4 linked regions of the Stegostoma tigrinum genome follow. The protein of the gene in region 2 purifies or fractionates together with the protein of the main gene of each other region. This does not show direct contact. Links are inferred from orthologs where the notes say so. Each region holds a gene or a part of one and is shown on either strand. Other genes may lie near its edges.

Region 1 (7,343 bases), on a different chromosome or scaffold from region 2:
TAAAAGTTAAATCTATCTGCTTCTTGGAAACATTCAATGCTTTGGCCTCAACAGCTTTTTGTGGCAGAGAATTCCACAGGCTCGACATCTCAGTCCTAAATAGCCTACTCCATATCCTTAGATTGTGACCCTGGTCTCCCCAGGAACATCCTCCCTGCATTTATCCTGTCTAGTCCTGGTAGAATGTTAGGGGTTTCTATGAGATCCCTCACACTATTTTTCTAAATTCCAGTGAATATAGCCCTAATCAATCCGATCTCTCTTTATACGTAGGTATGAGGCAGTAATGGGTCTTGACAATTCACCTCCCACTATCTGGCTAGCTAACACTGAACCATTAGGGAGATGAAAGATGTTCTTCCATATTGAGAGGCAGTACTACAGGGGACCTAACAAGGAAGTCAAAGGAGTCTGTCAGGACAAGCCAGGGTTTACATTTGATATGGATGTAAATTAATCTTCTCCCACCACCCTTAGCACTTAGGTTCCAGAAAATAGGCCCAGGTGAAAGCAAAAATGCAATATATGTTTGAAAACCGTCTAACCAAACTCAGGGAGGATGGCTGGCATTCCCCAGTTGTATTCATGCCCGAGCTTGTTGGATCAACTGGATTTTACATAGATGCAGAAAGGTCAATGCAGTGCCTTATACCCAATTCCTGATCTGGAACATTGTACTGATAGAATCGGCAGTGGAGGATTATTTACCAAAACAGTTCTGCTCCACTAATACTGGGATATCCCATTAACACCAAGAAGTAAAGGTACGTAGGCCTTGACACCCAGCCTTTTCCTTTGTCGAGAGGTGCTACAGGAACGATAGAAAGGGGGGTAAGAGAGGAAGCGAAGTAGCGTTTTTGATTAGGGATAACATTATGGCTGTACTAAGGAAGGATATTCCTGGAAATATATCCAGGGAGGTTATTTGGGTGAACTGAGAAATAAGAAAGGAATGAACACCTTGCTGGGATTGTACTATAGACCCCCACCCCCCCAACAGTCAGCAGGAAATTGAGAAACAAATTTTTAGGGAGGTCTCAGTTATCTGTAAGAATAACAGGGTGGTTATGGTAGGGGATTATAACTTTCCAAACATAGACTGGGACTGCCATAGTGTTAGAGAAGTTGCAAAACTTGACCTACTCTTGGGAAATAAGGCAGGGCAGGACAGGGGTGTCAGTGGGGGAGCACTTTGGGGATAATGGCCATAATTCTACTAGTTTTAAATTGTGATGGAAAAGGATAGACTGGATCTAAAAGTTCTGAACTGGAGGGAGGTTAATTTTGACTCTTTTGGCAAGAACTTTCAAAAGTTAATTAGGGGCAGATATTCGCAGGAAAAGGGATGGCTGGAAAATGGGAAGCCTTCAAAAATGAGATAACAAGAGTCCAAAGACAGTGTGTTCCTGCTAGAGTGAAGGGCAAGGCAGGTAGGTGTAGGGAATGGCTGGATGACCAGAGAAATTCAGGTTGTGGTCAAAAAGAAAATGGAATCCTATGTCAGATATAGACAGCAGGGATTGAGTGAATCCTTAGAAGAGTTTAAAGGCAGTGGAAGGGAAATCAGGAGGGTGAAAAGGAGACATGAGTTAGCTTTGGCAAATAGGGTTAAGGAGAATCCAAAGGGATTCTACAAATACATTAAGGAACAGCGAGTAACTAGGGAAAGAAGAGGGCCCCTTAACGATCAGCAAAGCCACCTATGTGTGGAACTGCAGGAGATTGGGGGGAATACTAAATGTGTATTTTGCATCAGTGGATGTCTTAAAATGCATATAGGTGGATAAATCCCCAGGATGTGATCAGATGTACCTTAGAACCCTGTGGGAAGCTCAGAATACAGGGAGAACTAGCCATTTGGATATAGAACTGGCTTGAAGGTAGAAGACAGAGGGTAGGTGGTCGAAGATTGCCTTTCAAGATAACAAAGTGTAGAGCTGGATGAACACAGCAGGCCAAGCAGCATCTTAGGAGCACAAAAGCTGACGTTTCAGGCCTAGACCCTTAATCAGAAAAGGGGGATAGGGAGAGATGCTGCTTGGCCTGCTGTCTTCATCCAGCTCCACACTTTGTTATCTCGGATTCTCCAGCATCTGCAGTTCCCATTATCTCTGAAGATTGCCTTTCAGACTGGAGGCCTGTGACCAGCAGTGTGACACAAGGATCGGTGCTGGGTCCACTGCTTTTTGTCACTTGTATAAATGATTTGGATGTGAACATAGGAGGTATGGTTAGTTTACAGATGACACCAAAGTTGGAGGTGTATTGAACACCAAAGGAGGTTACCTCTGAGTGCAAGGGGACCTTGATCAGGTGGGCCAATGGGCCGAGGAGTGTCACGTGAAGTTTAATTTAGATAAATGTGAGGTGCAGCTTTTGGACAAACAAATCGGGGCAGGACTTATACACTTAATGGTAAGGTCCTGGGTAGTGTTGCTGAACAAAGAGACCCTGGAATGCAGGTTCATAGTTCCTTGAAAGTTGAGTCGGAGGTAGACAGGGTAGTGAAGAAGGGGTTTGGTGTGCTTGCCTTTATTGGTCAGTGCATTGAGTATAGGAGTTAGGATGTCATGTTTTGGCTGTACAGAACATTGGTTGAGGAACTGCAGATGCTGGAGAATCTGAGATAACAAGGTGTAGAGCTGGATGAACACAGCAGGCCAAGCAGCATCAGAGGAGCAGGAAGGTTGACATTTCATTTTCTGAAGAAGGGTCTAGGCCCGAAACACCAGCTTTCCTGCTCCTCTGATGCTGCTTGGCCTGTTGTATTCATCCAGCTCCACACCTTGTTATCTCAGGACATTGGTTGGGCCACTTTTGGAATACTGCTTGCAATTTTGGTCTCCCTGCTATAGGAAGGATGTTGTAAAGCTTGAAAGGGTGCAGAAAAGATTTACAAGGATGTTCCCAGAGTTGGAGGGTTTGTGCTATAGGAAGAGATTGAATGAGCTGAGGCAATTTTCACAGGAGCATCGGGGCTGAGAGGTGACCTTATAGAGGTTTATAAAATCATGAGGTGCATGGATAGGGTACATGGACAAGGTCTTTTCCCTGATGTTGGGGGGGTCTAAAACTAAAGGGCATAGGTTTAACATGACAGGTGAATGATTTAAAGGCACCTAAGGAGCAACATTTTCAAGCAGAGGATGATGCGTATATGGAACAAGCTGCCAGAGGAAGTGGTGGAGGCTGGTACAATTACAACATTTAAAAAGCATTTGAATGGGTATATGAATAGGAAGGGTTTCGAGTGATATGGGCCAAATGCTGGCAAATGGGGTTAGATTCTTTTCAGATATCTGGTTGGCATGGTCGAGAGGGACAGAAGGGTCTCTTTCCATGCTGAACATCTCCATGACTCTGTGACTCTGAGTGGTAGGCAGTGTTCCTAACTGTGTGGCTTACCTTGATGAAGTCCTGCTACACAATGACATTTGGAAAGACTACTTGGAATAACTAGAACCTCTATTTAGAAAATTAGAGGTTGATTTGATGATGAACCTTGATAAAGTGAATTTGCAAAAAATGTAAGTAACTTACATGGGCATATGGCAGGGCAATGACAAATGCTGTCACAAACAGCAAAAGTACACATGTTGGAATGGTTCCATGTCCCTAAGACTAATTGGAAATTCAAGAGGTTTTATGGGGATATGTAGTTTCTACCATGAGATTGTATAAAATTTCAACACTATAGTAGCTCTACTGATGGATTTGTTGAAAAACCAAGAAAAAATACAATCAGTTGGTCAGAGGAGTGCCAAACACCTTTTGAGAGGCTGGAAACAATTCTGATCAATGAGCCATTGAACTGACTACTAAGCTGTTCAGTGCCGGGAGAGGGTGGGGGTTAGTGCCTAGGGAGTAGGGGATGTTGCCCAGACAGGGTGGAGGTCAGTGCCTGGCGAGTAGGGGACAGTGCACGGAGGGAGTGGGGCTCAGTGCCTGGAGAGGGTGGGGGTTAGTGCCTAGGGAGTAGGGGATGTTGCCCAGACAGGGTGGAGGTCAGTGCCTAGGGAGTAGGGGACAGTGCCGCAGAGAGTGCCGTCAGTGCCCGGAGAAGGTGGGGTCAGTGCAATGAGTGGGTGGGGTTTAGTGCCTGGGAGGGCCAGCGTCAGCGTCTCGGGGCGGGGTTAGAGCGGTGAGGGGTGGGATCAGCTTGGACGAGCCTGCCGCAGTGGTCTGTGGGTACGGCGTGGAGCGTTGTGGGAGCTGTAGTCCTAGGCCTCCTGATCCCAGCATTCACAGCGCGGCGTGCGGCCATGGCGCCGACAATCCAGAACGCGCAGCGGGACGACGGGCACCGGTAAGTCAGGTGAAGGAGGGCACGGAGAGAATCGTGTTGCATTTATATAAAAGTATAAACTGTTACTTTCGTGATCGCAGATGCCTATTCCTTAAACTCAGTTTTCTCATTTTCGGCTTTGGTCTCAGCCCGATCAACAGATCAACAAGCGGGCACCCACTGGGTCCTAGTGCCCGTTCAGCCTTACGGCGACTGAGCACCAAAGAGAGAGCACCCATTGGGTCCTAGTGCCCCCTGAGACTTCTGGCTAGTGGACCATCAAAAGGGAGCACGCTGGGTCCTAGTGCTCTCCCTGTTTCCTAGGCAACTGATCACCAAGAGGGAAATAAAAACAGAAGTTGTTGGAAAAGCTCAGCAGGTCTGGCAGCATCTGTGAAGAAAAAATCAGAGTAAATGTTTCAGGTTTCGTGACCCTTCCTCAGAAGTCCCAAGAGGGAAATCACTGGGTCATAGTGGATATCCGGTAAGATGCTTCTGAGACCACCAACAGATAAATTAATTTCGAAGGTTTTGGGGTAGATTTGTAGCTCGGGTTGTCGGTATTGAGGTTGGTTGGCTCGCCAAGCTGGTTTCTTGTTTTGCAGACGTTTTGTTACCATGCTGGATAACTTCCTCAGTGCAGCCTCCAATGAAGCATCGGTGTGCACTGACACAACTCAATCCACATGGACGAGGAGAACCATCATTTTGACTGAGATTGCTCCAAGACCCTGGGACAAGCCAGGCAGAGACAGGCATGAGAATTCCTAGAAACCTGGCACTCTACGAAGTGTGCTATTAATAACCATATTGAACTCAACCCCATATACATTCCACTGGAAAGGAAAACCGGAAGCAAGGCAATCCATCTCAATGGACTCCAGAGTTTAAAAACCAGGTGGGAAGTCGACGTTTTTGTCAGAGGCTGCACTGAGGATGATACACAACATGGTAATGAAACAGAGATAATGGGAACTGCAGATGCTGGAGAATCCAAGATAACAAAGTGTGGAGCTGGATGAACACAGCAGGCCAAGCAGCATCTTAGGAGCACAAAAGCTGACATTTCCGGCCTAGACCCTTCATCAGAAAAGGTGGATGGTGAGAGGATTCTGAAATAAATAGGGAGAGAGGAGGACGCGGACCGAAGATGGATAGAGGAGAAGATAGGTGTAGAGTATAGGTGGGGAGGTAGGGAGGGTACAGGCCAGTCCGGGGAGGACAGACAAGTCAAGGGAACGGGATAAGGTTAGTAGGTAGGAAATGGAGGTGCGGCTTGAGGTGGGAGGAGGGGATAGGTGAGATGAAGAACAGGTTAGGGAGGCGGGAATGAGTTGGGCTGGTTTTGGGATGTACTGGCGTGAGGGGGCATTTTGAAGCAGATGAAATCGACATTGATACCATTGGGCTGCAGGGTTCCCAAGCAGAATGAGTTGCTGTTCCTGCAACCTACGGGTGGCATCAGGATGGGCATGTCGTCTGAGGAATGGGAGGGGGGGAAGTTGAAATGGTTCGCGACTGGGAGGTGTAGTTGTTTATTGCGCACCGAGCGTAAGTGTTCTGCAAAGCGGTCCCCAATGTAGAGGAAGCCACATCAGGTACAGCAGATGCAGTAGACCACATTGGTGGATGTGCTGGTGAACATCTGCTTGATATGGAAAGTCGTCTTGGGGCCTGGGATGGGGGTGAGGGAGGAGGTGTAGGGCAAGTGTATCACTTCCTGCGGTTGCAGGGGAAAGTGCCTGGTGTGGTGGGGTTGGAGGGGAGTGTGGAGCAGACAAGGGAGTCGCGGAGAGAGTGGTCTCTCCGGAAGGCAGACAAGGGTGGGGATGGAAAAATGTCTTGGGTGGTGGGGTTGGATTGTAGATGGCGGAAGTATCGGCGGATGATGCGTTGTATCCGGAGGTTGGTGGGATGGTATGTGAGGACTAGGAGGATTCACTTTTGGTGGTTCTTGCAGGGGTGGGGTGTGAGGGATGTGTTGTGGGAAATGCGGGAGACATGGTCGAGAGCGTTGTCAACCACTGCGGGGGGGAAGTTGCAGACCTTGAAGAAAAAGGACATCTGGGATGTACGGGAGTGGAATATCTCCGACCATCTCCAACACATCCCTCACCTTCCTGGACCTCTCTGTCTCCATCTCAGGCAAACACCTACAAACCGATATCCATTTCAAGCCCACTGACTCCCACAGCTACCTGGAATACACCACCTCCCATCCACCTTCCTGCAAAAATTCCATCCCCTATTCCCAATTCCTTTGCCTCCACTGCCTCTGCTGCCAGGATGAGGCATTCCACTCACATACATCCCAGATGTCCTAGTTCTTCAAAGATCGCAACTTCCCCCCACAGTGGTTGACAACGCTCTCGACCATGTCTCCTGCATTTCCCGCAAGTCATCCCTCACACCCCACCCCTGCAATAACCACCAAAAGACAATGCCCCTAGTCCTCACATACCATCCCACCAACCTCCGAATACAACACATCATCCTTCGATACTTACGCCATCTACAATCCAACCCCACCACTAAAGACATTTTTCCAACCCCACCCTTGTCTGCCTTCCGGAGAGACCACTCTCTCCGCGACTCCCTTGTCTGCTCCTCACTTCCCTCCAACCCCACCACGCCCGGCACATTCCCCTGCAACCGCAGGAAGTGCTACACCTGCCCCCACACCTCCTCCCTCACCCCCATCCCAGGCCCCAAGATGACCTTCCACATCAAGCAGATGTTCACCTGCACATCTGCCAGTGTGGTATACTGCATCCGCTGTACCCGGTGTGGCTCCCTCTACATTGGGGAAATCAACGGAGGCTTGGGGACCACTTTGCAGAACACCTATGCTCGGTTCACAATAAACAACTGTACCTCCCAGTCGCGAACCATTTCAACTCCGCCTCCCATTCCTCAGACGACATGCCCATCCTGGGCCTCCTGCAGTGCCATAATGATGCCACCCGTAGATTGCAGGAACAGCAACTCATATTCTGCTTGGGAACCCTGCAGCCCAATGGTGTCAATGTGGATTTCACCAGCTTCAAAATCTCCTCTC
Region 2 (8,006 bases):
AGTTTCATCATCGGCCACCACAGATCAACCTAAAAAGCATTCAGACACTCTAGTAAGTATTGTGCGAGCAGCCACTTGGGACGATATCAGAAGTGCATTTTGGGTACTATACAAAAGCAGTTTTGTTTCTTTTTTATTTTTGTGTTTAGTATTAAAGGGATAATACTTTATTGTGACTAAAGATCTTTGAATTTGCACTGTAGGTAGATGGCTTGGAACATTCTACTTTATCTCCATTAGCTGGGATCATAACACTGATCTCCTGTTGATATAATTGTAAATGCTGTCAAAATCTGTCTTTATATTCCCAACTAGTTTATTCCTAAGCTACTTTTTCTTCTATCAACTTATTTGCTGATTTTCTCTGGTTTCTGAAACAATCAATTAGAACAATCTTTTGCAATCTTAAAGGCTTCTTTTATTTATTACCATCCTCATTTCCCCAGTAAGTGGCAAGTGGATCTTTCTAGCCTTGTTTCTATTTTTGGTAGAAAGTATTTTTGTCAAAAATTTTAAATGATTTTATATAAAGATTTCCCACTAGTCATTTACTACCAAAGCTTTTAGTCCACCCAATCAACCCTAGTCAGCTCATCTTCTAAACTGGCCCTGTTTAATATCCTTATTTTGAGATATCATGCTAAATTTTAATATGAAAATTAAGTGTATGATGAGCACATTTTAACAGCGATAGTAAGAACAGCCAATGCTAGAGTCAGAGATAGGACAATGTAGAGCTGGACAAGCACAGCAGGTCGGGCAGGAAAGTTCACGTTTCGAGTCAGGACCTTTCTTCAGAAATGGGGGAAGAGGAAGGGAGCTCAGAAATAAATAGAGATGGGGGGGTGCTGGGAAGGTAGACGGGATATGATAGGTGAGATCAGGTAGGGGGTAGCAGGAGGAGCAGGTAGATGGGAGAGAAGATGGACAGATTGTGTCAGGTCAATAAGGCGGGTTGAAGGTGGGATGAGGCAGTGGGTGGGGAGACTTTGAAACTAGTAAAAGTCCAGATTTAGGCCATTCGGTTGTAGGCTCCCAAGGCAGAATATGAGGTGCGGGTCTTCCAGTTTCCGGGTGGTGTCACTGTGATACTGGAGGAGGTCCAAAATGGACATGTCATCTATGGAGTGGGAGTGGGAGCTGAAACTGAAAGGTGGTATCGTTTGTCGTGAGCAGAGCACAGGTGTTCTACAAAGTGGTCTCCGAGCCTCTGCTCGGTCTCACCAATGCAGAGGAAGCTGCAGCGGATGCAGTAGACCATGTTGGCGGATATGCAGGTGAGCCTCGATCTTATGTGAAAGTTTTCTTTGGTTCCTTGGATGGAGGTGAGGGAGTAGGTGTAGCACTTCCTACGTTTGCAGGGAAACGAGCTGGGGGTGGTGGACCTAGTTGGGAGTGTGGAGCAGATGAGGGAATCACGGACAGAGTGGTCCCTACGGAAGGCAGATAGGGGTGGTGAGGGAAATATATCCTTGGTTGTGGGGTCAGATTGCAGGTGGTGGAAGTGGCGGAGAATGACACGTTAAATCTGGAGGTTTAATGGGATGATACATGAGGACAAGGGGGATTCTGTCTTTGTTTTTGTTGCAGGGAGGGGATATGACAGCTGAGTTGCAGGAAACACAAAAGATGTATTCAACAGCATTTTCGACCACTTGGGGGTGGGGAGAAGAAGCGTTGCAGTCCTTGAAACAAGGGGATGTCTGGGATGTTTGGGAGTGGAACCTTGGGAGCAGACACAGCAGAGACAGAGAAATTGGGAGCAGGGGATTGCATTCTCGCAGGAAGGTGGGTGAGAGGAGGTGTAGTCTAAGTAGCTGTGGGAGTCGGTGGGCTTGAAATAGATATCAGTTTCGAGGTGGTCATAGGAAATGGAGACAGAGGTCCAGGTGAACAAGGGCAGCATGGTGGTTCAGGGGTGAGCACTGCAGCCTCACAGCGCCAGGGACCCAGGTTCAATTCCAGCGTCGGGCAACTGTCTGCGTGGAGTTTGCAGATACGGAGAGAATGTGCATCGGTTTCCTCCCAAAGCCCAAAGATGTGCAGGCTAGGTGAACTGTCCATGCTAAATTGCCTGTAGTGTTCAGGGATGTGTGGGTGGTAGGGGTAGTGGGGTAGTGGGGGGGTAGTGGGGGGGTAGTGGGGGGGTAGTGGGGGGTAGGGGGGGGATGGTCCAAGGGTCAGTGTGGACTTGTTGGGCCGAAGGGCCTGTTTCCACACTGAAGGGCTTCTATGATTGAACTTGAAGTCGGGTTGAAAGGTGTTTGTAAAGTTGATGAACTGTTCATGCTCCTTGTGGGAGCTCAGAGCAGTGCTGATACAGTCACTGATGTAGTGGAGGAAGAGGTGAGGGCTCGTGCCAGTGTAGCTGTGGAAGAGGGGCTCTCTCACGTATCTTACGAAGAGGCGGGCCTGGCTTGGGCCCATGCGGGTTCCCATGGCCATACCCTTAGTCTGTAGGAAGTGAGAAGAGTTGAAGGAGAAGTTGTTAGCGGTAAGGACGAGTTCAGTTAATCTTCTTAACAGTGGATCTCTCACTATGAGACCACTCATTAACCCCGCCTCAAAGCACAATCGTAGATTTACAAGTAACTATGCTCTCTTCCGTTCCACAACATATTCTTCCAGGAGGCTGTCATGAAAACATTCAACAAGCTCAGATCACTTTTGCGAATTTGATTTGTTGATTCCATTTGAAGATAAGGTTAGAATGAATTACTCACATATAGGCGAGACCAGATAAAGACAGATTTCCTTCCCTAAAGTCCTGTACATTCTCTCTCCCATTCCCCCAACCAGTCGCTCTCTCTTTCCTCTTCTTCTCTACCATCCAGTCCTCAGTCCTCAGTCCTCAGGCCCCGCGCTCCCTTGCCCCTTCCCCCCACCCGTTCCCAAACCGGACTCACCCGAAAGTGCCCTGCCCGATCTTCGCCAGCTTCTCGTACTTCCCGACCTCGTCGCAGAACTGGAAATCCAGCGCTTCATAATGTTTAATCATGTCGGCGCTGAGCCTGACACTCATCCCACCATCCGGGCACCTCGCCATCATCTACTTCCGGGGCGGCCGGCTGTGCGGCACGCTGTGATGTAGCCGACATCCGCTACAGACAGCGGCACCAATCGGCCGGGAGTGCAGCTGCAACCGTTCTGTCTCGACCCAGCCACAAAAGCAGCTGGTAGCAGTTCCAATAGGGAGCGGAGTTCACCCGCAGTGTCCTAGAAAACTCCTACTTCATTGTCTTCTCATGCATATTTTGAAATCAGCAAATATAAAGCTCAATTTTAGGGAGAATGACTCATTGTCATTTTTCTTACACTTTTTCATGTTTCTACAACCATTTGGTTCAGTTAATTCACAGAACATTGAGCTGCCAAGCCTTGTCCATCTCTCAGCCAAGTTTCAGAAGTAGCTTTGATATCCCTGTCTCATGTTCTTAAATATGCCCTGAGTTCATCAGCCTTACCCATAAGATGCCTTTCAATGAAATAAGTGCAATTTAGTTTTTCAGGGTTACTACATACTATGATTCTCTCTTTTCTAATTGACATGGTCTCTTCGCATTCAGAACCTTCGCTGTCAATCTTTCTATTTACGCTGCTATTTAGAATTCCTCCACTCCCTTAAGTCTCCCTTAATGGAATGAGCAAATCTCCCTGTTAAGATATTGGTCACTGTCCAGTTCAGGTTAGACTCATTCTTTTTCAACAGGTCTTTTCTATCCTAAATGACATTCCAATTGTCCAAAAACCTGAATCCCTGGACAATACACCAGCTTTTCAGTTATTGATTTATTGCCTTAGCCTTTTGTTGCTTCGCTTGTTTAAGTTTGGCATTGAGAGTAAACCAGAAATTGCTATTTTTAAGGTTCTTTTTTTAAAATCTTCTACCTAACCTCTTAAATTCACTCTGTACTGCTTTAATCTTGTCTCTAAAAATGTCATTCCTACCAATGTGTACAATAATTTATGGCTTCTCAATCTCACCTTTAATAGGCTTGAAATGTTTGGAGTTGTTCTTAATCCTAGCACAAGGAAAGCAACAAACCATCCTATAGTTATGCTCACTGCCACAGAATCTCCTGTCTATGTCCCTGACAGCAGAGTCCTCTATTACAATAATCCTATTAAATCTTGTAAAGCGTTGCCTAACATAAGGATTATTCCAAGTCCCCAACAACTTACTGCCCCTTCCATCTTCCTTGGTGAGACTATCCCCTTTTACAGTTCCAAAAGCTAAATATCTATTTGATAGAGGAATAGTCACCAGAGACTTTTAAACTACCTTACCTTTCCCAAGTCACCCATCTATCTGACAGATCCTGCCATGTAAAAGCCTTTCTAACTCTGCCAGCCACCTCACTCTGTACCTTACATAAGGCCTTAATAACACTATGCCTAAAAGAATTTTCAGAAACACCTTATACTGAAAATAAAACATCTTTCATTACCTCCAGAAAATAATGTTAAAATGAAAAAAAACAAACAGATAAAACTTAAATGAAATCAACCATTTAGCTGATTAACTGAATAAAAAAAACTCCTCTTCAATAAATTGCTCAAAGGAAAAGAAAAGTCTTCTCTAGAGCCAACCATATGTAGGACTCACCAAAACAAAAACACAACTCCTTGCTTTTAAAAAAATCTGCTTGGTTTTTCAAGAAAAGACTTCTGCAATGTAAAAGAAAACACCCGCTAAAACACATATAGTCTTTTTTAAATTTCTGAATTTAGAATTAAAAATACCTCAGCTGTTCACTGTAGAAAAGCTTGTTTAAAAACAGTGCATTTGAAAAGAAAATCACAATTTTATTTGTTTGTTTTTTGGCTTTTTTGTACTCTAATAAAACAGAATGAATAAAACATCTTATACTAGTAAAATATCATGACTGTAATAACTGTAAGAAAAACTATAATAAATCTTTGATTATGTCTGCAATCCCAGGAGCATCTGCAAGATCCACACTGCCTCCCCTGAACTTCGAAAGGAAGTGGTAAATGTGTGTACAGTTACAACATTTAAAGGTCACTCAGGTAAGTACGTGAATAAGAAATACTTGGAGGGAGATGGGCCAAGCATTGGCAGATGGGACTAGTTTAGTTGGGGATTATGGTTGGACTGAAGAATCTATTCCTGTGCTGTATGACTCTATGACTACAGTTAGATAATGGGACATCTTTGGAATTTCCTGAATTAATTCCCATTTTGAGCTATTTTGGATCTGAACCAACACTAACATATCCCCAAACTCAACTTTTTTTTACTCAGAAATGTTAATATAAGGAAATATTTCAAGGCATTTCAATGCCTGAATTTTACCTCATGTTCAAGATCTTTCTATTCCTGATATATATTACTCACTCAGGTTTTGGTGTGTGGAACACAATTTCAACATTTGTGGACAACTCAGTATTTGGAAATATTGTGAATTGTGAGGAGGATAGCACTCAACTCCAGAAGCACACAACCAGGTCGGTGTGGGGAATGAGTAGATATATCACAGGTGTAATTTGATGCAAAGAAGTGCAATGTGATGTATTTTGGTAGAAAAGACAAGAGCAGGCAACATAAAATAAAGAATAGAATTGAGTATGACTGAAGGAACTAAGAGACCAGTGACATATGTGCACAAGTTGTTGAGGGTGTTGAAGCAGTTTGAGAAAGGTGATCAAAATGGTGATGAGCATTTATGAAACACTAGCTTTTGGCCTCAGTTGGAATAGCAGTCTATTTGTTTACACAAACCTTCAGGGAGGATGTGACAATCTTTTTGGAGCTGCTGAATTAGTCACATTCCTCTATACCTTCCTCTTTAAGTTTTAACACTTGAAAGACTTAAGAGATGATGCAAAAAAAAACTCCTGAAAATGGTTCCAGGGATGAGGAACTTTGGTTACGTGGATAAAGTGAAGGGGCCAAGTTTTTCTCCTTAGAGAAGAGAAGATTGAGAAATATGGTAGAAATGTTTAAAATCTCGAGATGTCAGGGCAGAATCAATTAAGTGTAACTGTTCCCATTAGGGTCCAGAAACAGGAAAAAAAAAGCTTTCAGGAGATTGGCAAAAGAAGCAATGAGATGTAAGGAAAATCTTTTCCCCACACAGTGAATGGTTAGGATCTAGAATTGCGCTTGAGACTGTGCTGAAGACATGATTTAATCTGCCTTTCAAAAGATAATTGGATCATTATATGAAAAATGAGTAAAAAAATGTATACCAAATTGTAGAGCAAAAGTTGTCATAGGTGGGATTATTGACACTCTATGATCTGCTCTTGCAGATAGACTGCTCAGACACAACAAGCCAAATGGCCTCTTTGTGTATCATAAACATCCCATGATTTGATCGAATGAGGATAAATTTTCATAAACAGTGGAGTGGTGAGGTTATCATGTTATGGATGAATCATGTCCCTCAGTGGCCCCAAGTTACAGAAGGTATAAGGTAAATCAATAGACAATCAAAACATGTAATCAAATTCCATGCTCAACCAAGCATGAATTGGGTCTAACAACGGCAAGAAAAGTCATAGCAGTCCAATCTTGACCCATTTTACCCTGGCTCATCATTTCTTTCCACACACCTCTGATCTCCCTTTCAATCTGCCCATCAAAGACAAGGAATATGACCAAGATGTGAAACCAGAAATTGAGGAGCTGCCCCTTAAGTTTACAGGCCAGGCTTCTTTTAAGTATCATTCATGTTGGCACTTTGCAGATAAGAAAAACAGTCCTGATCCTGAAATAGGGCATGGGGAGAGTTTATATGTCAGTGAAGAGGTTCAAGAAAGCATTTAAGGCCTTTCTGGCAAGCAGCATAATGCACCCAGGATCCAGGCACTAGGGAGAGTCTATCAGGGCTTTCTACTAGGTCCACTTGCCCCCTATTGGACGGCAAGATGATCAATCAGTACAGAAGATGAAAACAATCACTGTTTCTGCACCTTAGTGATTACCACATTCACCCTACACATGAAATGTCCCTGGTACAAAACTGAACAGGAATGTTCCGGAGTCTGGTGGTACAGAAGGTCAGTCCAACCTGCTGTAGCGGTACTTCCTAACATGTCCAACATATCTGTTAAAAATAATTTAGAAGATGACAGTAAAGAAATGGATCAATAGCATACAGGGAATTCCATAGGGTAGAAAGGAAAATAAGGAATGATTCTTACTTTGCAGCTGTCTCTGATAAATGTGCAGATTCAGATCCAATCCACAAAGGACTATGAAGTAATTAAAGGGACATAGACCAAACCTGCTGCTGGTGATATTTCACCTGGATATTATTAAACCAACCCTGAGGTTATGACCATAACTTAGTGACTACTGTTGGATGTGCAAGTCAAAGAATTTCAAGGAAAGACAGTGCAACATTATAACAACACCTCTATACTGAGGTACACTTTGAAACATTTCCCATGCACGATGAAAAGAAATGCAAAGGTATTGCACTGGATTTTCATCCGAGACTGCGTGCTAACATTCCAGCGTGGGGTTTTACACCACCACCTTTGGACATGGGTTCAATGGAAGCTTTGTTAATGGGATCCTGGTCAAGAGACCTATTCACTGACTCACTTTAAGGAAAAAAAATCCTGCCATTCTTATTCCTTTTTACTACCTGTGCTGAATTTGCAATTACTCTTAAACAACCTTCTGAAGTGATTTTATAAACCTTTCAGCTGGACCAAGCTCAGGGCAGCCAGGGATACAAGCAATAAATAATGCTGCCAACATAAAATATACTTAGAAACAAGGTTAATACTCCAGGCAAGGCTTCTTTTAAGCATCATTCACATTGACAAAGATGCAAAACTCTATTCGTCATAATTTTTAGAGGGTTTGCTGACAAGAAATGTAACAGTGTGTGGGGCTGTTATTTCCATAAATATACTCATTGGGAAATGTGGAACTGGCTTTGCAGATGCTCCCAGAGTAAACAAAGTGCTGTACAATCAATTGTAGTCAATTATTCAGGGAATTAGTGACTCATTCTACAAACATTCTA
Region 3 (7,160 bases), on a different chromosome or scaffold from region 2:
CACGAACACCAACTGGCTACAAAAAGACACGACTAATACCCAGTCATCTCTATCCACATGGATAAGGAGAACCACCAATTTGACTGGGACAACACCAAAATCCTGGGACAAGCTAAGCAGAGACAGGCAGGGGAATTCCTGGAAGCCTGGTACTCCACGAAGAAAGCCATCAATAAACACACAGAACTCGACCCCATATACACTCCACTACGAAAGCAAACCGAAAGTGAGGCAATCCAGCTCAACCGACTCCAGAGTTTAAAAACCAAGTGGGACAAACACACCAGGCGCTTCATCGGGGGCTGCACTGATGGTGTTACCCAGCAGGGTAATGAAACATCTTTGGAACAACGAACCAGCTCGGCAAGCCAGCCAACCACAATACCGGATTCACAACGCCCATCAGAAATTCCTCCGCATTTTTATTAAATGGGTGATCCTTCACTGAAATTTTGCCCTCCGGTTGTAGACTCTTGCAAAATGGGAAACAACCTTGCAGTATCTATGTTGTCACGTCTTCTAAGAATCTCACAGACTTTCACAGGTTGCACAAAGCTTCAAATGTGTCAGCCAACACCGCATGCTCCTCCTCCAAGGACACCCAGGCACAGTCGTAATTACGGAAGACAGACAAAGACAGATGGTACAAACAACTAATGTTGTAATTAATTAATGCTCTGAAAAATATCTACATCCACTTGATAGAACTAAGAACTATACAAAGTAAGTGTGATCATTTTGTATTGCAGATTCAAATTACAAATCCAAACCATGCAATGTACATGGCACCAACTGCAAAGTATGAAACATTATCAGCTTAAAAACTCAAGTCTATTTCTTCTCATTTCTGAAGAAAAGTCAACCCTGTTATGATCCTGCAATGTTAACATGTTAAAAAGTCAGATTCCAGAGGAAAATGTAGCTTGAGATCCTAACTTTGTTCTTTTTGTTTAGAAAGTGGAGGTCCAGCACTGAACACTTTCACAAGTGTACATTTAACAAGGGAGTAACAAACCATACAACACTAAATAACATTCCACAAAAGTTTCAGTAACATCAAAATTACTCTGCATTTACAATATTCTTTTTATTCCAGCAATGGCAAATCTCAAAGATTCACCACCATCTCCATGCTTGACTGCTTGTGCAAACTGGCACAACTGCAACCTGTTTCCTTCTGGTAAATTCCAGGGCATTCTGTTGATGCTTTTCTGCAGATAGTATCCCTACCGAAACACCTAAATAAATTGTAAACTAAATACTATCTACAGAAATTGGAGTTTCTGTAAACTCAGTTGTCAGCAGTGCTGCAGGATTGCTTACTAGAGTATTTAATATTCCTGTTTCCAATTTCTACCACAACCTGAAACCTTATTGCTGGAGGACAATTTTTGTCTTTTTTTTAAAACAAATGCATTGAACAACCAATCCCCCATCTGTTCACTGTAAAGATTGTAAAACCACATCACAAATGGATGTATAGAAAAAGGCTGCCAAATTTCCAGGTACAAAGCCCACAAAACCCTCACAATGAAACTAAAACTTCCTATCAAAAAATACAAAATATAAATTAAACTTGAAGTGATAGTTTGTTCCTCACATCCTGAAAACTTAACCGTACCTCCACAGACCTGTTGCGTTTTCCCAGCCTTTGCCGTTTTCAGGCCAATTGCATTTGCAGTATTTTACTTTAGGAACATTACTTACATGGTTACTTATGTAGACCATTTATGACTATTGTTTTAATCAACATTGTTGGACATGTTATGACACAATGCTGTGCCAAGTACTACTTGAACTCAAACTTTCTGGCCCAGAAGTAGAGGCACTACCACCACACCACAACAGCCCTTATTGAAAATCCCATCGATCACCAGGCATATTCAATTTACTCTGGCCCATTAGGCAAAAGTCAACTTCACAATTAGACTAATGTTACACTGATGGTACATTATTATCATTTTTTCTCTGCTGCACATAAGAGAATTACATTAAGAACAACAGTGATAAGGCTAAACATTGTGGAAGGAGGGAAACAATGTAAATACCTTTAAACAAAAGCTTTACCGAAGCCATGTGCTGATTTGACTTGTCCTACACATAATATTTTCAATGTAGGTCTCAGTCTTCAATTCACAAAAGAAATAGCTTTCAAAGAAAATACCATTACTCTGAAATATATTCAGTAGATTTCCAAACTCTTTGAAGAATGCTTTGGCATTCTGAGATCCGTGATTTCACATATTAAACTAATATATTGCAGTACATGGGAAATCAGGAACTGAAAAGTCTTAAAACAAAATGGGCTCATGCTTTTTCCTGGTCACTATACAAGACGTTACTATATTCATGGACAAGGTCACGTCGTTTTCTCTGTAAAAATCAGATAACATTTAAGAGTCTCGCGTTCCTCTTCGTCACCAGATTAAGGGGGTGGGAAGAGAATAAAAGACGTACGACAGCAAATGCGTCTTTAATTTAAGCGATAAATAAAGTCTGGCTTTTCCTCTTTTTTCCCCATCAAGAAACCTGCATTTCCCACTCGTGTCATGGTTGCTCAACCGAGCTTGATTTCTCCCCGGGCCACCACCCGCCTTTTCATTGCTGATTGGCCGGTAGTCTGTAACTCCTCTGCCGATTGGTGCAAACTCACGTCAATCGCCACCTCACCCGGACAACTGAGGTAGGTTGAACTAACGGCCTGATTCTAGCTCCTCTCCCCACACCCCAAAACCAGCCCGTTTCTCTCTGTGGTCAATGGTTCACCGTCGAACGGAAGCGGTGAACCTAGGCAAGGCCACTCTAGAGACAGCAACAAAAGGAAATATCTTCTGTCAGGCCTGTTTAATGTCAGAATCGGTCCGTCTCGCCCGGTCTTTCCTACCTTCAGCGGCGGAGCTACTTTCCATGAAGCCCTCAACATTTTCCCTTAAACTCTTCGATGGTTTTATGTTCTTCGATGAAGAAAAGTACTCCGCTGTACCGGATCAGAACATTTTTTTTTACAAAAAACATAGACAATTAGAGACTAATGTGCAGCCCAACACCTTACTCCCTCGCTGTGAGGCGGGAGTGACCGTGTTGACCGCTTTCCGTACGATCGAGGCTGCGCCACACCAACGCGCACGCGCCCGCCCCCGCTGCTCTGTCTAACTTGGTCTTGGCGTCGTGCACAACCAACCTTGATAGCTGCTGAAGGCACTTTCTCTTTCAGGGCTCTTGTGGTGCAGTGCTAGTATCTCGACCTCGGAGCGAGTAAGCCCGAGTTCAAGTTACACTTTCTCAAGGAAGATGTATATCTTTCTCTCTCTAACCCTTCAATCTGACGAGTGATTTGCCCATTGAGAATCATCATCCACTTACCCTCCCCTCATACAGTGCACTCTGGGATGCTATCTACCTCCACGAAAACCCCTAGGGATAATTTTATAGCACAGAAATAAAGCCATAAGACCCAGAAGAAGTAGGCCTTTGAGCTCATCAAGTTTCTCTGCTGATCAGATAATCCTCAATTCCACTTTCCTGCTTTATCCTCATAACCCTTGATTCCGTTGCTGATGAAAATTTATCTCAGCCACGAATACATTTAATAACCCAGTCGTAATAGCCCTCTGTGGTACTTAATTTTTCAGATTCTGTACTAAATCTGTCCCTTTGGCATGCATTCCAATGCCACCTCACTCGAAGAGCCATATCCATTCAATCCCAATGCTCTGACAATTTTTCCCTACCCCTTTTAAGATTATTCCAGCACTTATCCACGTGTGCTTAGTAAGTTTTGATAAATTCCGCTTCACCCTTGCTTCTCACATCCAGGGAAATAAAATAAATGATGCTCAGACTAATGGATAAGGGCTGGATGCTGGTAAGATCAGTATGGGTTGCTTCTGACCACCTCCTCAAAGGCAACTAGGGATGGTCAGTAAATGCTAGCCCACCAGTGAACCCAACATCCCATAGATGAATATAGAACAAAAAAATGAAAAGAACTGAGGAACCCTAAAGGAACTAAAGCTACAATAGGTGTCATATATAGATCACTTGATAGCAGCTCAGAAGTGCTAGATTGTATAAATATTCAAATTTGGCAACTATGTAGCAAAGGCAGAGTAGTATTAGTGTGGGACTTTGATCAAGATAGACTGGGAGAGACAGACAAGCACCTGCCAGAAAGGTTGTGAATTTCGAGATAGTTTTGAGATAGTATCCTATGTCAATATGTCTTGGATGCAACAATGGAACAAACAATATTGAATCTAGTAACAAGAAATGAGTCTCATTTAATTAGTGGCCTGGTTGTTCGTGAGCATTTGCCAAATAGTGATCATAACACATTTGAGTTTCATGTAGTGTTTGTAAGAGATAAGCAAAGATTGGATACTAGAATTTTGGATTTACATAAGATAGATTTTAAAGGGATGTGGCAGAGACTATCCACAGTGAAGTGGGAAGTTCTGTTACTACGTAAAACAGCCAAAGAACAGAGGAAGGCATTCAAAGAAACATTTACTGCAATTCAGAAGCAATTTATATGCGTATAAAGGAAAAGCTACACCTCATTAAAAAAAACACAACCATGGACAGTTAAGGAGGTAAGGAGCAACATAAAATTAAAAGGGGCTTATAAAAACACATAGAAAGTACAGATTCCACAGAATTGGACAAATATAAAGACCAAAAAAGGCCCACAAAGCAGCTTATAAGAGCACGCTAGACCAGAGGGCAGTTAAGAGGGCATCACATTGTTCTGGGTCAGGAGTCATATTTAAGCAGATAAGGACAACAGTTTCAGAGATAATGGGAACTGCAGATGCTGGAGAATTCCAAGATAATAAAATGTGAGGCTGGATGAACACAGCAGGCCAAGCAGCATCTCAGGATGCTGCTTGGCCTGCTGTGTTCATCCAGCCTCACATTTTATTATCAAGGACAACAGTTTCCTTCCTTTAAGGGCATCTAGATGAGTTTTTCCTGTCAAGTAACAATGGTTTCATAGCCATCATTAAAATCTTAATGCCAGTTTTGCTTTTTATTGAATTCAATTCCACAATTTGCTGTGATAAGGTGTGAACCCAGGTCCCTGAACATTACTTGTGTCTCTGGATTAATAGTTTGGTGATTATACCACTACACTATTGTCTCCCCCACCTTCACAACAAAACACAAAAATGACCAGGAGCTTCCAATTGCCTGCCACTTTAATACACCACCATGTTCCCATACCAACATTTCTGTATCAGGCCTGTGGCAGTGCTCCAGCAAAGCTCAACACTTGAGGAATAACACCTCAGCTCTGCTAAGGCACCCTACATCAAGTTGAACAGTTTTGGAACCTGAACACCCCCTTTCTTGTCTATTACCTATTTTCAAACCCCAGGTCCTGTCTTGAAATATGTTGGCTGTGCTGAAAGCAACCTATTTTCAATTATTCATTGCCTATAAAGTGATTTGTCATACATACAGGCCCTTCAGTCCAACCTGGCTATACTAAACATCAAAACTCAAACTACACTAATCCCATTTACTTGCACTCAGTTCCTACTATGCCCTGGCATTTAAGAACTCACCCCGATGCTTCTTAAATGTTGTGTGCCACCATCCTCTGAGGCAGCATGTTCCATATTTCTAGCATCCTCTGGGTGAAAAAAATTCTCAGATCTCTCCTAAGCTGTTTACTTCTTGCCATAAACATGTGCCTCCTGTATTAGACATGTCTGCTATGTGGAAGATATTCTCATGATCACCTCCATCAATACCTGTCATTGGAGGTACGATGTTGTGGCCATTACAGATACATGGATAACACAAGGGCAGGAATGGCTGTTGGATGTTCCGGGGTTTAGATGTTGCAAAAGAAATAGGGATGGAGATAAAAGAGGTTGGGGTGTGGCATTGCTAATCAAGTATGGTATCACAGCTGCAGAAAGGGAGATCATCGAAGAGGGTTTGTCTACTGAGTCAGTATGGGTGAAAATCAGAAACAGGAAAGAAGCAGTCACTTTATTGGGAGTTTTCGATAGACACCCCAATAGCAACAGAGACACTGAGGAACAGATTGAGAGGCAGATTTTGGAAAGGTGCAGAAGTAAGAGGGATGTTGTCATGGGTGACTTCAACTTCCCTAATATCAACTGGAACCTCCAAGTGCAAATGGTTTAGATGGAGCAGACTTTGTCAGGTGTGTCCAGGAAGGATTTCTGACTCCATATGTAGATAGGCCAACTAGAGGGGAGGCTATTTTGGATTTATTGCTTGGCAACAAACCAAGCTAGGTGTCAAATCTCTCGGTGGAAGAGCATTTCAGTGATAGTGATCACAACTCCCTGACCTTTACTATAGTCATGGAGAGGGACAGGAGCAGACGGTATGGGAAAGTATTTAATTGGGAGAAGGGGAATTACAATGCTATTAGGCAAGAACTGTGGAGCATAAATTGGGAACAGATGTTCTCAGGGAAATACACAACAGAAATGTGGAGGTTGTTTAGGGAGCAGTTGCTACAGGTACTGGAGAGGTTTGTCCCACTGAGGCAAGGAAAGGAGGGCAAGACATGTGGAACATCTAGTCAAGAAGAAGAAAGAAGCTTACTTAACGTTGAGAAATCAAGGATCAGACAGGGCTCTAGAGGTTTACAAGGTAGCCAGGAAGGAACTGAAGAATGGACTTAGGACAGCTAGAACAGGGTATGAAAAAGCTTTTGTGGATAGGATTAAGGAAAACCCCAAGGCATTCTATACTTATGTGAGGAACAAGAGGATGGCCAAAGGGACAGTGGAGGGAACTTGTGCATGGAGTCAGAGGAGGTAGGGGAGGTCCTTAATGAATATTTTGCTTCAGTATTCACCAGTGAGAGGGACCTTGTAGTTTGTGATGCCAGCACGAAATAAGCTGATATGCTTGGACAGGTTGATGTTAGGAAGGAGGATGTGCTAGAAATTTTGAAAAATATGAGGATAGATAAGTCCCCTGGGCCTGATGGTACATACCAAAGGTTGATATGGGAAGCGAGGGAAGAGATTGCTGTGCTTTTGGCAATGATCTTTTCGTCCTCACTGTCTACTGGAGTACTACCAGATGATTGGAGGGTGGCAAATGTTATTCCCTTGTTCAAGAAAGGGAATAGAGATAATCCTGGGAATTACGGATGAGTCAGTCCTACT
Region 4 (7,042 bases), on a different chromosome or scaffold from region 2:
AAACTGGCATAAATTATATACCTCAAACACTAAGTTTATTGTATTTTCACGATCTTTGAGTAGTCAGTTGAGGGTGCAAGTGAGAAGACTCTCTGCCATTAAGATTTATAAGGCAAAGGTGCATCATTATTATTGATTTATGCTGTAATTAAAGTCTCACAGTGACATGCACACCCCCTGCATCACGTTTCCATTACTTAGTGGATGCTTCTACAATGATTATGTGGACTTCTCGATTATCCAGAATATTTTATCAACTAGCACACTCCTGGTCCCATAGACACTGGTTGATAAAAGGTGCGCTGCATGTGAAGAGAAATGTTCATCATTTGGACCAACTGATTGCAAATAGAGTGTAATGCTATTCCGTAGGATTTTCTTGAGCATTTCTGCATCTGTTACACACTTCCAGCGGCTTTTACAGTTCTTTGTTAGATCAATGTTTGCAGGAGGCACTAGGAACAGGAATTTCAAAATTAAAATGCATCAATCGCATTATCGCGATCCGTTGACTTCATTTTCCCAAAAAAGAGAGTGCAGGTGGTGGGTGGTGGTGGTCGAGGGTTTAGTTTTGAAATCATAAAAGTTCATCAATTCGACCCCAGAAGTGAAAATCATAAGTCAAAGAAACGAACGATTGCTCAGTACAAGGGGCACCTCCTCGTGGGCAAACCAGAAACATGCCGAGTGACAGGATTTTCAGTGCAAGGAAATCTCACGCAGAGGGGAAAGAGCAGGACAGGAATAGGCCACAGCCCCAAACTCAACAAGTACACCATACAGAAGACATGTGTAGCCACCATTTCAAATTAGTAAAGCTGAACAGCTGGCTGCAGACACAAAAACTTGATAAGACATAGGGTCAGCTTAAAATAAAAGGCGGAACATACACTCACGCTAAACGTCGTTTTGCTAGAAGCAGCATTTTAAAAGTGACTCAAAAACCCACAAACGCAGTTTCACAGACACTCAGTTGAATGTTCTGAAGGCATGTAATGGCCCTGAGCCATTCTGCAACAGGAATGAGAAACTTTTAAAAGCCCTCTTCGTTTGGAGCACTCCCTGGGCAAGGTTACAAAACCTGAAATGCTCTCATGTCTTAACATTCACAGCCGGGGGTGGGGGGGGGGAAGAAGTTGTTTACACGTCCTACTTGCAAAGTAATGCGTGCTTCAAGAATGCGTGCATTGTCAAGATAACACCAAAAATCTTTACATTTCCACAAACACAAAGCAACTGTTAAGGTTGTAAACAGCCATCTACTGAAGGTGTGCCCCCCGGATGGCGTTTGAGTGCCCCTAATCTATGGAGTTTGGTTCAAGGGGTCATTTGGGACTTTTTTGCAACGCCAAATGTTTAATTTACAAGATTAGTAGCCAAGGTGAAACTCCCTTCTCCACAAAAAGCATACCAGATGCACTCACCTGGATGAAAGTGACGTTATTGGGGAACTCAGCCACACAGCGATCCACAGCCACGGGTGGGGCAGCGATTGGGCCCTTACACTTGGTCAGCGACAGCGGGAAGCGCCTCTTCACCTGCCCATCGCCCTGCGACGGCAGCATGTCCTGCGACAGGAAATGGCGGATGTTCTGTCGGGCCGTGTGGATGAGGCTACCGTCAATGTCGATGCCCACAATGCGCGAGGGCTTCAAGTCTTTGGCGATGCTGAGCGTCAGGTGGCCCGCGTTGCAGCCCAGGTCCAAGATGTCCTTGCCCTGGAACCACTCAGGCTTGAAGAAGCTGAGCCGGGGGTCCTCACAGCGGCCTGGGTTACGGTAGCCGTAGTACTTGGTGTAGTTGCCATACTGGAACCGCTTCTGTTTGCTCTGGAAGTTGGGCTGGGCCTTGCCATCACGGTGCAGGCTAGAGTGGCGCTGGAAGCTGTGTTGCTGCTGGTGGTGTTGGTGATGGTGGTGGTGAGATGCCTTGCCTTTTGCCTTCTCTGGCATTGGCTTCTTGGCATCCGCACCTGGCAGCCTCGGCTCTTCCTCCGAGCTGGTCGGGATCTTGCCCAGCTCGGACTTGCTGGCGGTCCGGCGCCGCTTGCGATGCCGGCTTCCAGTTGGGGCTTGCTCGGAGCCACGGAGGACAGGTGACACAATCTCGTCCCTGCAGTTAATGAGGGTGTTGAGCTCGTAGGGCTGGGGGCCCTCAGGCTCAGTTGGCACCTCGGAGGACCCCGGCCCCACGCTTGTTCCTGCTGGGTTCTGACCCACAAGGCAGTCCCGGGAGCTTGGGTCCAGTGGGAGAACTTGGTTCCTCTCCGCTGATTCGGTGGCGGTGGCAGACTGGGGTTGCTGGCCAGGCTGGTGGTGGTAATGACGGTGTCGCCTCTTGCGGCCCAACTTGAGGGGCGATGGCAGGACCTCGGAGTCATTGTTGAGGTTGAGCGGGTCGGTGATGTCCTTGGGGATGAGGATCTCTACCGGGTCGCGGTTCCGGCTGGGCAGAGGCGAGGACTTGGGGGTCTCAGCGTTAAGAGCCTTGTTGACGTCCTCGTCCAGCAGGCTGTTGAGGTTGAGCGGGTCAAAGATGTTACCGCCCAGCAGGAAATTGCTGGGCAGCACCGGGTCACAGTCTGAGTTGACGCGGCGCCTCCTCTTGAACCCGGGGTGCTTGAAGCCTACGTTCAAGCTATTCCTCCGTTTGAAGGCCCTCTGCTGCTGCAAGGGCTGGAGCCCATTCCTTGGCCGGCTCAGCTCCGCCACGCTGTCAACCTCATCTTTGGCACCAGGGGACAGGGCAACCTCCTCACTGACGGGCGTCAGCACCCTGCCCGGGTGGCGGTGTAGCTCCTCGACCCCCATGGCAGACAGGTACTCGGGCTTCAGGAGGGTCACCTCCCTGACAGAATCTTCCTCGACCGACGCCGCCATCAGACGGCATGGGGAGCCTCTTGGCCACAGGGGGTGGTTGCTGGCGTGTGGGTCGGCCTGGCTCTCTCTCCTGTGATAGCGCCCCCGTTTGCCCAGTGCAGCAGCAACTTCCCAAGCACCAGGGGCTGAGTCAGCCCTTCCCCCTCCCCCCACCCAAGTTGCAACCAGTGCACGACGTCGCCGTTACGCACTCTAACGGAATCCCACGTCGCCCGTGACGTCAGCGCGTCTCATCAACATAAATGAATTATTCATATTCTGGGACCTTAGCGAACAATCAACTCACCCCCTCCCCCCCACACCCCCTCACCACCAACCTTCACGGGTTTTGTTTATCGACTCCCGCTTCTACCCCTCCCCCGCTAAACCCAGTCCTTTCTATCCTCCACCTGACCGAAAAATCCAAAATGGCAACTTTAAAGCCCTCGATTGTCAAGTTTGTGGAACTTAAAGCGGAAATATATCCGCAAGCGACGAACCGTGCTTATTCATTCGGTGGAAGTCACACGGTTGCTTTTCACACCACCACCCCCCTCTTCCCTTTCGCTTCGAACTCCACCCCCCACCCACTTATTTAAAAGAAAATTAAAATCACTTTTTTTCAAAACCCCCCCCTTTCCTCGCTCACCACCCCTTGGAGCTGCTAAGGCGCACTCGCTATTTTTTTTCCTCTCTCTCCCTTTCCCTGTCCCCTCCCCCCCCTTTCTCCCCTCACAGTGCGCTTGCGTCTCCTTTTATAACCAAGCTGGACCGCCCCTCGGCTGATAGACATCCGTCCCCACCAATCGGCCAGAAGGGGAGCGCGTCGCGCGGCGAACCTCTTCCCGGCCCCGGCCAATCCGGATACAAGGGATGGGCGGGACTTCAGCCACCCTTAGCCCCGCCCCTCCCCCCACAACCGCTGGAAGGCGGGACACGGAGGTTGTGGGGGAGGGGAGGGCCGCCTAGGCGTCCGTCCTCACCGACGGAAAAAAATAGATTGTTTTTTAAAAAAACAGAAATAAGGTATAATAATTAATATGTAACATCTGAGTTTTGGTTCGACGTGTTTCCCAGCCCCAGTAGACAGGGAGAGTCCTCAAGCTTGTTCTGTTAAGGCGGGGACGCAAGGTTAATCCCCGCCGTCGTCTGAGGGAGGGAGGGCTGATGGTGTGTACGGGGGTTTTCAATCGTCCGTCCCCGATGTGGAGTGTTGTTTTTGTTTCCCCTCCCCGCCATCATTCAGGCGCCGGCCGCGGCTCGCCTCCCTCCTTCCGCGCGGCGAAAAACAAACCCGACTTCTCAAACGGGAACCGGGGCCGTCTCACAGGCTCGGCGTTTACTTCACGGGGGTGCGGACACCCTCAGAGCCAGGCCCGCCGGCTGCTGGGAGGGGGTGGAGGGGGGAAGTTGGAAGAAATCGTTAGAGAAAAAAATTCCGTTCGACGCCCTGGGGCTCTCACGTCGTCTTTTTGTCGGTTGGCGCTCGACTCGACATCCGTTGGGGGCGATCACGTGACAGTGGCCCGAAGCGGTGCCCGATGGGAGTTGTAGTTTCCTTCCACTTCCACGCCTCTCCCCACCCCTTCATCTCCCTCCGTCCCCGTTTAACCCCTACTTGCGGTCCCCCCCGCCCATCTTTCAACCTTGCCCCCAATATCCTCCCACTGTCTCTCCCCGTCAACATCCCACCTACCTGACCACCCCCAACCGTGTTCCCACAACTCTCACATCCCACCATCTCTAACTCCTCTTACCCACTCCCCACCCCCATCTCTGATCCCACCATCTCTTTCCCCCTTCCCTCTTCCTATTTCCTCTATCTCTTTATCCCTATCTCCCACATATCCTCCCCAACTCCCCTTCCTACACATTTCTCCTCCGTCTCTCTCTTCCCATCTCCCCTCATTTCCTTCTCCCCAACCGTCTCCTCACCCCACCCCCCACAAAACTCCTCACCTCCAAACACTGGGCATTCACCTACTAGAAACAAAGCCACATTGGGTCTATTTCCCAGCCTCTGGCTGAACTACTCTGTTTCTAAAAGCTGGCCGCTGGAAGGGAACTCACAGCAGGGATTTGGGGAATAAAAGTTTCTCCTAGACAGTAGAGAATGTCTGGAACTCACTGAGGCAGGGTGGTAGAGGCAGGAACCCTCAAGATATTTAAGAACTATTTGCATGAGCATGTCCAAGTGCTTGAAAATGGGATTTGAATAGATGGATGATTGATCATTATCCCAGATGCAATGTGCCAAAGGGCCTCTTTCCATGCTGTATAACTCAATGACAGATAGGGTATAAATCTTATCTTCTCTAACTTCCCTGACTGTCTCCAGGCCGACAACATCTGATTGACTCTTTAACTGCCCTTTGAAGTGGTCAATCAAGCCACTCTACTTGGGGCCAATTGGAGATGGGCAACAAAACCTGGCCTCAGATGCACCCCTGAAAGTTTATTAAAAATTCACTCCACACATTGTAGATACATCGACAGTGATGTGGGGCTGGGAATATCATTCTCGACCCAGCGACAGTGAAGGAACAACAACATATTTCCAAGTCACGGTGGTATGGAGCTTGGAGGGAAGTTGCTGCTGGAGGATTTCTCATACAATTTGTTCTGGATGGTACTTGTGATGGGTTAAAACTATTTCTTGTATTACGCAAAGACTAATGTACTTAATTGGCTGCAAAGTACCATGAGCTGTGAAGAGTACCATATACATACAAGTCTTTTCCTTTAAATTCTTTCTCAGGAAATTGGCAACACAAAGAAAGCTAATATTCTCTGACTGTCTGTTGATCCCCTTGAGAACATGAAAGGTTATGAAAACTGCTTTGTCAAACCTTTGCAGTCACTGTGGTGATCGTACTTAGTGAATGAGATGAGTTTTTTTAACGAGTTCCAAAGTTATGGTTATTTTAATCAACCTGTTCAGACATGTTATGACAAATCTCTGGAGTAGTTGGGAATTGAACTTGGAGGTGGGGTCACTACCAATGCACACTACAAGAGCCCTTCATTCAGCAGTTTTATGCTCGGCCTGTGACTAATTTTAATCCCGAGTGATTAAATTGGAATTTCTTCATGTGGGATTTTATCGAGTCGTGAGATTATTGGGGTGGCATGGTGATTCTGTGGTTAGCACTGCTGCCTCACAGCATTAGTGACCCAGGTTCAATTCCACCCTCTGGTGACTGTCTATGTGGAGTTTGCATGTTTTTCCTGTATCTGCATGGGTTCCCTCTGGATGCTGCAGTTTCCTCCCACAATCCAAAGGTGAATTGGCCATGCTAAGTTGCCCATAGTGTCCAGAGTGTTGAGTGTGGTCGAGGTGGGTTCGCCATGGGAAATGCACATTTTTTATAGAATCCCTAGAATGCGGAAACAGGCCCTTCATGCCAACAAGTCCACACCGATTCTCAGAGGATCCTACCTAGGCCCATCCTCCTTTAATCCAACTAATCTACACATCCCTCAACACTATGGACAATTTTCCCTGGCAAATGTACTGTGCTGTACTTTTCTATGTTCTATGTTTTAAATCCACTTAGCCTGCACATATTTGGACTGTGAGAGGAAACCAGGGCACCCGGAGGACACACACAGACATGGGGAAAATGTCTAAACTCCACATAGACGGCCACCCGAGCGTGGAATTGAGCCCAGGAGCCCGGCACTGTGAGGCAGCAGTGCTAACCACGGAGCTGCCTGTTATAGGAATAGGCTGGGTCTGGGTGGTATGCTCTTTGAAGGGTCGGTGTGGACGTGATGGGCCAAATGGCCTGCTTCCACACCATAGGGATTCTATATATCTTATAAATTCAGTAACAAAACCACTGCGGGGGCTGTTTAGCTAAATTGGCTAGATTTTTAGCGCATGGTTTAGATTGATTCCCAGTTTAGATCAAGTAGATTTAGGAGCTGACTCCTTGCTCTCACCTCGAGAGTTAAAGGTGATGGTAGACACCATGGACAAAAGTATTGAATCTTCTCTATTTCCTTTTCTGGCAATGCGTTCCAGATCACAACAATTTGCTTGCATAAAAAGAAGGAATTTTCTCACCTATTGTCCTTAATTTCTTTGGTAATTATTTCCAAATATCTGCCCCCCCCCCACCCCGCGCCGGTTTCCGATGCTCCTGCCACTAGAGACGGTGTAAAACCAAGTTAGAAAATTA

The links.
Region 1: the proteins of cdk9 (region 2) and paf1 purify together in Homo sapiens (affinity purification with western blotting; 3 studies listed by BioGRID and IntAct, with this or other methods). This does not show direct contact. The link is inferred for Stegostoma tigrinum from reciprocal best matches to the Homo sapiens genes CDK9 and PAF1.
Region 3: the proteins of cdk9 (region 2) and immt purify together in Homo sapiens (affinity purification with mass spectrometry; 3 studies listed by BioGRID, with this or other methods). This does not show direct contact. The link is inferred for Stegostoma tigrinum from reciprocal best matches to the Homo sapiens genes CDK9 and IMMT.
Region 4: the proteins of cdk9 (region 2) and 7SK snRNA methylphosphate capping enzyme-like purify together in Homo sapiens (affinity purification with mass spectrometry; 10 studies listed by BioGRID and IntAct, counting the BioPlex papers as one, with this or other methods). This does not show direct contact. The link is inferred for Stegostoma tigrinum from reciprocal best matches to the Homo sapiens genes CDK9 and MEPCE.

Annotation. Positions count from the first base shown.
Region 1 is NC_081392.1:4,125,750-4,133,092, reverse strand, and holds the start of paf1 (RNA polymerase II-associated factor 1 homolog), read left to right. Parts: upstream 1-4,208; 5' UTR 4,209-4,262; coding exon 4,263-4,306; intron 4,307-7,343. UniProt on the Homo sapiens protein: Component of the PAF1 complex (PAF1C) which has multiple functions during transcription by RNA polymerase II and is implicated in regulation of development and maintenance of embryonic stem cell pluripotency.
Region 2 is NC_081382.1:34,259,332-34,267,337, forward strand, and holds the start of cdk9 (cyclin-dependent kinase 9), read right to left. Parts: upstream 3,066-8,006; 5' UTR 3,050-3,065; coding exon 2,907-3,049; intron 53-2,906; exon of another isoform or gene 1-52. UniProt on the Homo sapiens protein: Protein kinase involved in the regulation of transcription.
Region 3 is NC_081354.1:168,485,714-168,492,873, forward strand, and holds the start of immt (MICOS complex subunit MIC60), read right to left. Parts: upstream 3,116-7,160; 5' UTR 2,924-3,115; coding exon 2,885-2,923; intron 1-2,884. UniProt on the Homo sapiens protein: Component of the MICOS complex, a large protein complex of the mitochondrial inner membrane that plays crucial roles in the maintenance of crista junctions, inner membrane architecture, and formation of contact sites to the outer membrane.
Region 4 is NC_081398.1:9,416,790-9,423,831, forward strand, and holds the start of 7SK snRNA methylphosphate capping enzyme-like, read right to left. Parts: upstream 3,160-7,042; 5' UTR 2,880-3,159; coding exon 1,425-2,879; intron 1-1,424. UniProt on the Homo sapiens protein: S-adenosyl-L-methionine-dependent methyltransferase that adds a methylphosphate cap at the 5'-end of 7SK snRNA (7SK RNA), leading to stabilize it.